Xenopus tropicalis: one gene and its partner. The protein of the gene in region 1 interacts with the protein of each later gene in a pairwise test. Links are inferred from orthologs where the notes say so. Each region holds a gene or a part of one and is shown in the gene's direction. Other genes may lie near its edges. The genes, in order: cinp and atrip.

What was found.
Region 2: the proteins of cinp (region 1) and atrip interact in binary tests that used the Homo sapiens proteins (3 or more experiments, as listed by UniProt). The link is inferred for Xenopus tropicalis from reciprocal best matches to the Homo sapiens genes CINP and ATRIP.

Annotation. Positions count from the first base shown.
Region 1 is NC_030684.2:97,543,916-97,548,447, reverse strand, and holds the start of cinp (cyclin-dependent kinase 2-interacting protein), read left to right. Parts: upstream 1-1,538; 5' UTR 1,539-1,642; coding exon 1,643-1,664; intron 1,665-4,532. UniProt on the Homo sapiens protein: Component of the DNA replication complex, which interacts with two kinases, CDK2 and CDC7, thereby providing a functional and physical link between CDK2 and CDC7 during firing of the origins of replication.
Region 2 is NC_030680.2:123,888,760-123,891,788, reverse strand, and holds the end of atrip (ATR-interacting protein), read left to right. Parts: intron 1-1,230; coding exon 1,231-1,317; intron 1,318-1,532; coding exon 1,533-1,785; intron 1,786-2,056; coding exon 2,057-2,124; 3' UTR 2,125-2,281; downstream 2,282-3,029. UniProt on the Homo sapiens protein: Required for checkpoint signaling after DNA damage. Required for ATR expression, possibly by stabilizing the protein.

The DNA of each region.
Region 1 (4,532 bases):
TTTGTGAAAGATCTACAGATAGTGCACCTGTAAGGCGGATGCAGCCCACTGGCCACCAGATGGACAGCCCTGCCTAAACCTAATGTTTAATCACAGTCATAAGTCATATAATGACTGCCTTTCTTCTGGTAGAACTTTGTAACACTAGGTTTTCTTATTGGAAGCTACTATTACTTTTAGAAAGTCAGCAACTGGCTCAAGAGAACCGTCTTCCTGAACAGCCTAAGCAATAAACCAATACCTTTTAATACGTCATTGCCAAAAGTAGACTGCTAGTACTAACCCCAGATATGTGGGGTTTTGCCCCTTGAAAGAGGGCAAGCCTACAGTAACTGAAACTCTGTGCAATTAAGTGATATAGCTGCCTAACAACAAATTAAAAGGCATTGTAATGTATTATTATCATGTGTTTATAAAGTGCCAACATATTCTAAAGCACTGCACAAGGAATGGGTGTATATATTAAACAAATAGATTTTTCAACAAAATCAACCAATACAAGAGGTAAAAAGGGCCCTGTTCAGTGTTGCCTTTTCTACTGCTTGAAAGAAGCCCACAACATGCTACCTTACAGCTTGATAACTAAAAATATAATTTGTGTATATAAAGTCTTTAAAGCATAAAAGACAGGCTAGCACCTAATTTCCTTATGGAACATTAAGGAACCACATTTGTCAAATATCCTTAGGGACAGCTGTGATTGTAAAGATGTTAAAAATTCTCTTGATGAGATGTATCAAAAGATGATAGATAGATAGATAGATAGATAGATAGATAGATAGATAGATACTCTTACAAGAAGAGAAGTATGAATGAAATCACCCAGATGTACATTACGCAGCTTTCTGGAAAAAGTAAGGATGCTTCTTAAAGATAAAAAGGACAAAATATACCATCAAAACAAAATATGTACACTAAATGCAGATAAAAGTGTTCAGTAACATTGGAGCGTGCTAATCAAGATCAGTGTGTGTCATGTGCATAAATAAATATATATACAAAACATGTCTAGTCTAGGGCCATCCAGCGCTAATGACAGTGCAGGAGGGCAGCAGATGGCACATGTTATGTACTTTATGGTTAGATCTAAAGGCAGGGAGTGTGTGATGAAAGCTGCTAGATTCTTTTTGCTATGAGTGCATATATTTGCTTAATAACAGTAGATGATACACACATTAAGCACAGTGCTGATGGCACAGCAGATGAGCAACAGCTGGCAAGCCTCAGCTCAGTAGCACTAAGAGAAGCTATGCCAAATATGTACAATATAGTGAATAATAAACGTTAAGCAATGCTGTTTTATATAAGCCTTCTCCTGCCCCCTCTAAAGTATTTGGGGGCTTCTTCATCCACACTCACCTGTTTCTCGAGTGTTAGTCACGGCTTTGAAAACCCTTTCGCATCCAGGAACCTGACGCAGCTAAAACATACTCCCCACTCTCTATAATCACAACACTGTACAGACACCACTTAGGTACCGCCCACATTAGCATGAATCGGTCCTTCCGTTCTAGTCCGGAAAGCGGAAATTGTTGTGTGCGTTCCACTGCGTTCCACTGCGTTGCACATGGGAACCGAGAGCAAGGAGAGAGGGCATGCATAGTAGAGTGAGATAGAATGTAACAGATTACCGTGCTACTGAATGTATGCTGATACAATGGAAAGTAAGTTGCTTTGGAAGTTTGGTAAAACTGCAGACTTTTGCCAATTCAGGTTGCAGAGTGACTATTACGGGCGTGAGTGGAACATCGAATCTAGACGTTTTAAAAAAGGAAGGTTTCTTTCGGGGCAGGTATAGCTGAAGGGTGACTGCCAAATAGCACCCACGTTTGTATAATATAAGTGGTTGTAATAGTAATGGGCTACTGTGGGTGACTTTTTGTAGAATTTTGAATTTAGAATGTAATATAAATAAGCCATTGTCCATTTGCTATGATTTTTAAGGGCATTGTCCCTTACCTATGCCTTACTGTGTCCAATGATGTCTTCTGAACTGGTCCACTAGGGAAGAGGGGATATCTGGAGGGCCTGACTTTTGTTTACCCTATATCAGCGTTTTTCAACCACTGTTCGAGATGTTGCCTGGTGTGCCGTAGGCAGGGCACCAATGTACTAGGGGGGCACTGCTCTTGGCACCAATGTACTAGGGGGGCACTGCTCTTGGCACCAATGTACTAGGGGGCACTGCTGCTGGGCACCAATGTACTAGGGGGGCACTGCTCTTGGCACCAATGTACTAGGGGGGCACTGCTGCTGGGCACCAATGTACTAGGGGGGCACTGCTCTTGGCACCAATGTACTAGGGGGGCACTGCTCTTGGCACCAATGTACTAGGGGGCACTGCTGCTGGGCACCAATGTACTAGGGGGGCACTGCTCTTGGCACCAATGTACTAGGGGGGCACTGCTGCTGGGCACCAATGTACTAGGGGGGCACTGCTCTTGGCACCAATGTACTAGGGGGGCACTGCTGCTGGGCACCAATGTACTAGGGGGGCACTGCTGCTGGGCACAGAGTTAAATTTTTTAACATTTTCTAATGGTGGTGTGCCTCGTGATTTTTTTCATGAAACAAGTGTGCCTTTGCCCAAAAAAGGTTGAAAAACACTGCCCTATATCATTAATACTTACAGACATCTATATTGTGGGGTCTGAGGATTTAATACTTAGTTCATAGCTTTCTAAAGAATTCTGAAATCCTCACTACCAGTGTGTATAAATAAACTTAGCAGGGCCAGTCATTACCCATCTGCTGGACCATAATGCTGCTTTGTGGATATGCAGAAAATTTACACACTGAAGGCTTCCCAGGTTTGTATTAACGTCACTTCCAGTTTTATCCACAACCTGATCCACTACACAGCAAAACAAAGATGCAGGTCTGGGCAGTTAAAATGTGCGTCTAATTGGACAGGATTGTACTACAGAGACCTTATCCGCACACCCTAGCGCTCCAAAATTATATGCCCGGTGCACACTGCTGGAGGGATCGGCACCCTCCAAAACCAGTACAACCACAAAAAAAGCAAATGGCACTCAGGGCTACAAACAAGGGAAAACCCTTAAAAAGTTTATTGCGGAGGTGCACCTCCGCAATAAACTTTTTAAGGGTTTTCCCTTGTTTGTAGCCCTGAGTGCCATTTGCTTTTTTTGTGGTTCTAATTGGACAGGGCCATAGAGGGCCATATCAAATGTATCAGTCCCAGTGATAGCTTGATCAGTGCATGAAATTAAAAATTATAATGTATTTTTGATTTGCCGCAATTCAAACAAGAGACGCAATACAAAAATCTGAATTTGCTCAAACCTATTCATTCAAATTTTGAGACAGACTGTGGTTGTGCCCATAGTTCAACTTTATTAGGGATTTAGTTTGCCTGAATTTTTCAGGCTGTTAGGATAAGGCAGTAAAACGATATTAGAAACCTATTACCTGTGAGAATATTCTGAAATTATTCAGTCACATTCACAATTAGTTCTAAAACAGCAAAGGGATTCTTTAGGTTAGATATGGTGTGCCTTTTGCTTTGGATTTCTGTACCACCTTAACACAGTGAAAGTTTTTGCCTTCTAGAATGCTTCCAGTTCTTCCTGTTTTGATTATATATATCACATGCACTTTACTGCTATCAGTTACTTGAGCTTAGGGTCTCAATTACAATATACAGTAAATACATTTACTTGATGAGACACGTTTGTAATTCATTCAAATTCACATCAGAGTTGTCCAACAACATGCAATCTTGTGAGAGGACAGTCAACACCAGTGCCAGATAGAAACCCTTAATGCAACCTAATTAAAATCTTTGTGTGCAATGATGCCCAAATAGACATTGTACAGTGCCAACCAACAATAAAATTAAAATATTCAATAGAGATATTATCATAATCCAGTATGGACGGTAGAGGATAATACTCGCCAAACTGGAGAGCCCCAATGTGAAATAAATATAGTTACATATTTTACAAAAAGCAATGATATTCAGTCTGTTCATTGAGGCCTTTAGGTGATACCTTATTCAGTCTGTATGTCCATCTGGCTTTGTGTTACAGAATTATTCTTTCTCTGTCATCATTCCACTTAGGTCTTGGAACATGTTCTAATATTTGAACTCTCAACTGAGATGAATTATGATTTTTTTTCTTTAAAGTGTCTAATGTGTCAAATAATATCCTTAATTTTATAATAATATTGACAATAGGTTTGGACACATGCTATATTATCTTTTACTTCTATCTTGATTTTGAAGCAATGATCCTCTGTCCAAATCCAATAATTTATTTTCTGCTTTCTATAGTATATTTCTTGGGTAGCCCCTGTCAATAAATATTTGTTTAATATCATTAATTGTTTCTGGTAACACTTCATGATTACTAATTATCCATTTAACCCTAGCCATTTGACTGAATGGAATAGAACGTACCTGAGCTTTTGGATGAAAACTCCTGGCTTGGAGAGAACTATTGGTCTCCAGTGTTTTTTGGTATAAGTCAGTTTGAATACTGGTTTCTATTTTCCGTCTCTTTACATCC
Region 2 (3,029 bases), on another chromosome or scaffold:
TAACAATGCCTTCCTGGTAAATTTGCAGGCAGCAGTGTTGTACATGTAAATTTGTTTTTCTGCCTCAGAGTGGTTGATTCTGTAATAGAAATGGGTATTTAAGAGACCTCCTCCAAATATGGGGGACTATTACATTTGTTTGCACTAGGTTAAAGTTTTTTGTTGCCAGAATAAACAGAATAACACTGAATATTGCCTGAAATTTGTATTTCTTCAGGTGCATACTTTTTGCACAGGCAGATCTAGAAGTATTTCCCCTTGACTTCTCAATCTGTCTGGCTTAAAATTTAGATATATACTAGCACCCTGCACCATAATTGAGTAAATCAGCACAAATATTATGCAGTGAATCAGCAGAAAAGAAGATGGGGGGCTACTGGGGCATCTTTGGGGCACAGATCTTCCCTGCTAAAGGCCTGTGGTTGCCTTGGGCTGGTACAGAAGCCCAAAACACAATGTACAGCATTTCTGTCCTCCTTTTTCAGTTAAACTTCAGATCTCCTTTAAGGCGTCATAAATAGTGTATATTCTCTAGGATTAACTGTGCTTTAAAGGTGACCTGTCACCCTAAGAAATAATTCCAATTTCTTTTCTAATGTGTTTGTTAAGCAAAATGAACTGCACAAACTGTATAAATTATATAAATCTTGAAAATAAAAATCGCAGGCAGCTGCCATTTTGTGGGCACTGTTATTAAGGCAAGCTTTGTATCACCCCCAAATCTAGTGTATGTGCCAGAATGGGGGACCTGGTTCCCTTTCCCATGCACTGGCTACACAATTAGATAGTGAGAAGGTTGGGGGAATGTGAGTGCTGTGGCATAGAGGCGGGGCAGGTAGTTATGATTGACAGCTGGGATTTTTAAATGCATTTATAACGGGTTTGAATAATAAATATAAAAATGAATTTTGGTTTCAAAGAGGATCAGGGTCGGACTGAGCCGGCGGGACACCGGGAAAAAACCTGGTGGGCCCTGCCAGCCCAGATTGGCCTTGAACTTGCACCCTAATAAATTAGCACATTAGTATTAACCAATGGGGGGGTGGCTGGCTGGCTGATAATCCAGGAACAACTGGGGTGGAAGTCCTGGACACCCCCAATGCAACCCAGAGAAGGATATTTGTAGTCACCTCAAAGTTCCAATGACCTGCATTAAAGCACTTGGCTTTCACCTCATGTCTTTATACTGTCATTGAATATATAATATGATAATGATTTGCTTTTTACTAGGTGGTCCGTTTCCTTACCAAACTGTCTGTGATAGGCTGGAACCCAATCAACACCACCTCAGAGACTGTATGCCAGTGTGAGCGGGAGGTAAGTTCCCGGGACACATTACCAGAATGTTATGAAAGGCTGGGTGTAATTTTGTTTGGTATTTATATGATAAATGTATTTATAGATATAACTATTTTCTCCTCTTATAATCCTGCTATGCCGTGCAGGGTTGGATAGGCCCATCATTGTGAGTTAATCAGCAGTTGCTGTTACGGTGTATTTACCAATCCTGCCCTTGTCTCCTTTTTATGCAGGTTGTTAAAGCAGTGGTCCTGATGCTGCACCGGGAGTGGCTGGGTTTGCGGCGCCTGTCACTCCATCTGCTGACCACTACTAAAAACAAGGTGGTGCAGTTCTTGCGGGACGCTGTGCTGCTGCTGCACTCTCTTTCTCAGAAGGACAGGAACTTTCATGAGCACTGCCTGGAGGTCCTGCACCAGTATGACCAGGCCTTACCTGGGGTCCGGGCTCTCTTCAAGAAGGTGCAGGTGTTGAAAGAAAATGAAGGTAAACATTTTTCCAAAATTTGCTTACCTGCTTTTTTTTATTAAATTATGCACTAAACTAAATATTAAATGCAGGGTAGTAGGTCCTCTTTAAATCTTGTAACCAACAACCAATCAGAAATGTTTTCATGTAGTCAATGATACATTCTGATTGTTTGCCCCCTTGCTGTTACATTACCACTATGGAAATTAAAATCATGAAAAACTCTTCCTTCTGATTCTTTCTGGATGGACTTTGTTGCGGCTTCTCAGCTTATATATATGTGTTACAGAATATGCATTGGATGAGCTCTGCCCCCCGGAAGTTGAAACAGAGGATGAATACATGGATTGCACATGACTGCTACCTTGGGTCTTCCTATAAGCTGTGGTCTCTTTTAATGAACTTTTTATGTCAGTGCAGTTCTCTCTGCAAACCCTTTACTATTTGTTTTCAGTATTGTGTAGCTGTAAATACTGTACTCTAAAAAATAAAATAAATTCCAACCTTGTACAAAATTATATGAAACCTGCTGTATTTATTGCACTCTCTCTTATTTATTGTGCCAGATCTGGACTGGAGAAAGGGTTTGGGCTGAAAAGCTGGGAGACATTCCTTACATATAGGCTGGAACGGTCAAAAACAAAACTTTTTGGTGCATCAATTTTTTTTTTTCCTATAAAAGCTGAATACACAAAGTCAAACTTTATCAAAAGGTAGATGTGTTTTTTTTATTTGTTAGTAAAATAGTACAGTTCCTGACTATCCTATCTGACTGCATCTTCCTTGTGGGACTGACAATTTCACCTGTACGTCTTTCTTGGCACACAAATGGTGTCGTTTACATCTTGAAAGAATAGAATGCTTTTTTTTTTTTTTTTTTTTCAAAAAGGAAACACTTTATGAAAAAAAACAAACTTTACTGGATAGAGAATGTTTAACTAAACACAGCCATTATAACATGGAACACTACAGTGGCCGGTCGTGTGTTTTTTCCATAATAGTTTTTAACAGTGGCATTGAAACTTTACAGAACATTTAAAACTAGTTTTGTGCAAATAGGGGGGTTAGGGGAAAAAAAGGAGAAACCATACTCCTACATTTAGAGGAAACAAGTGCACCAAAAAACAAAACAAAAAACATTTATATCAAATCCGGAATAAACAACTTGTATAAAACTACTATTTGTCAGCTATTAAAGAGTAGCTAAACCACCATGAAATAAAGGGCCTACTCCACCCTTTATAGGCTTCTTTGGCTAGTGC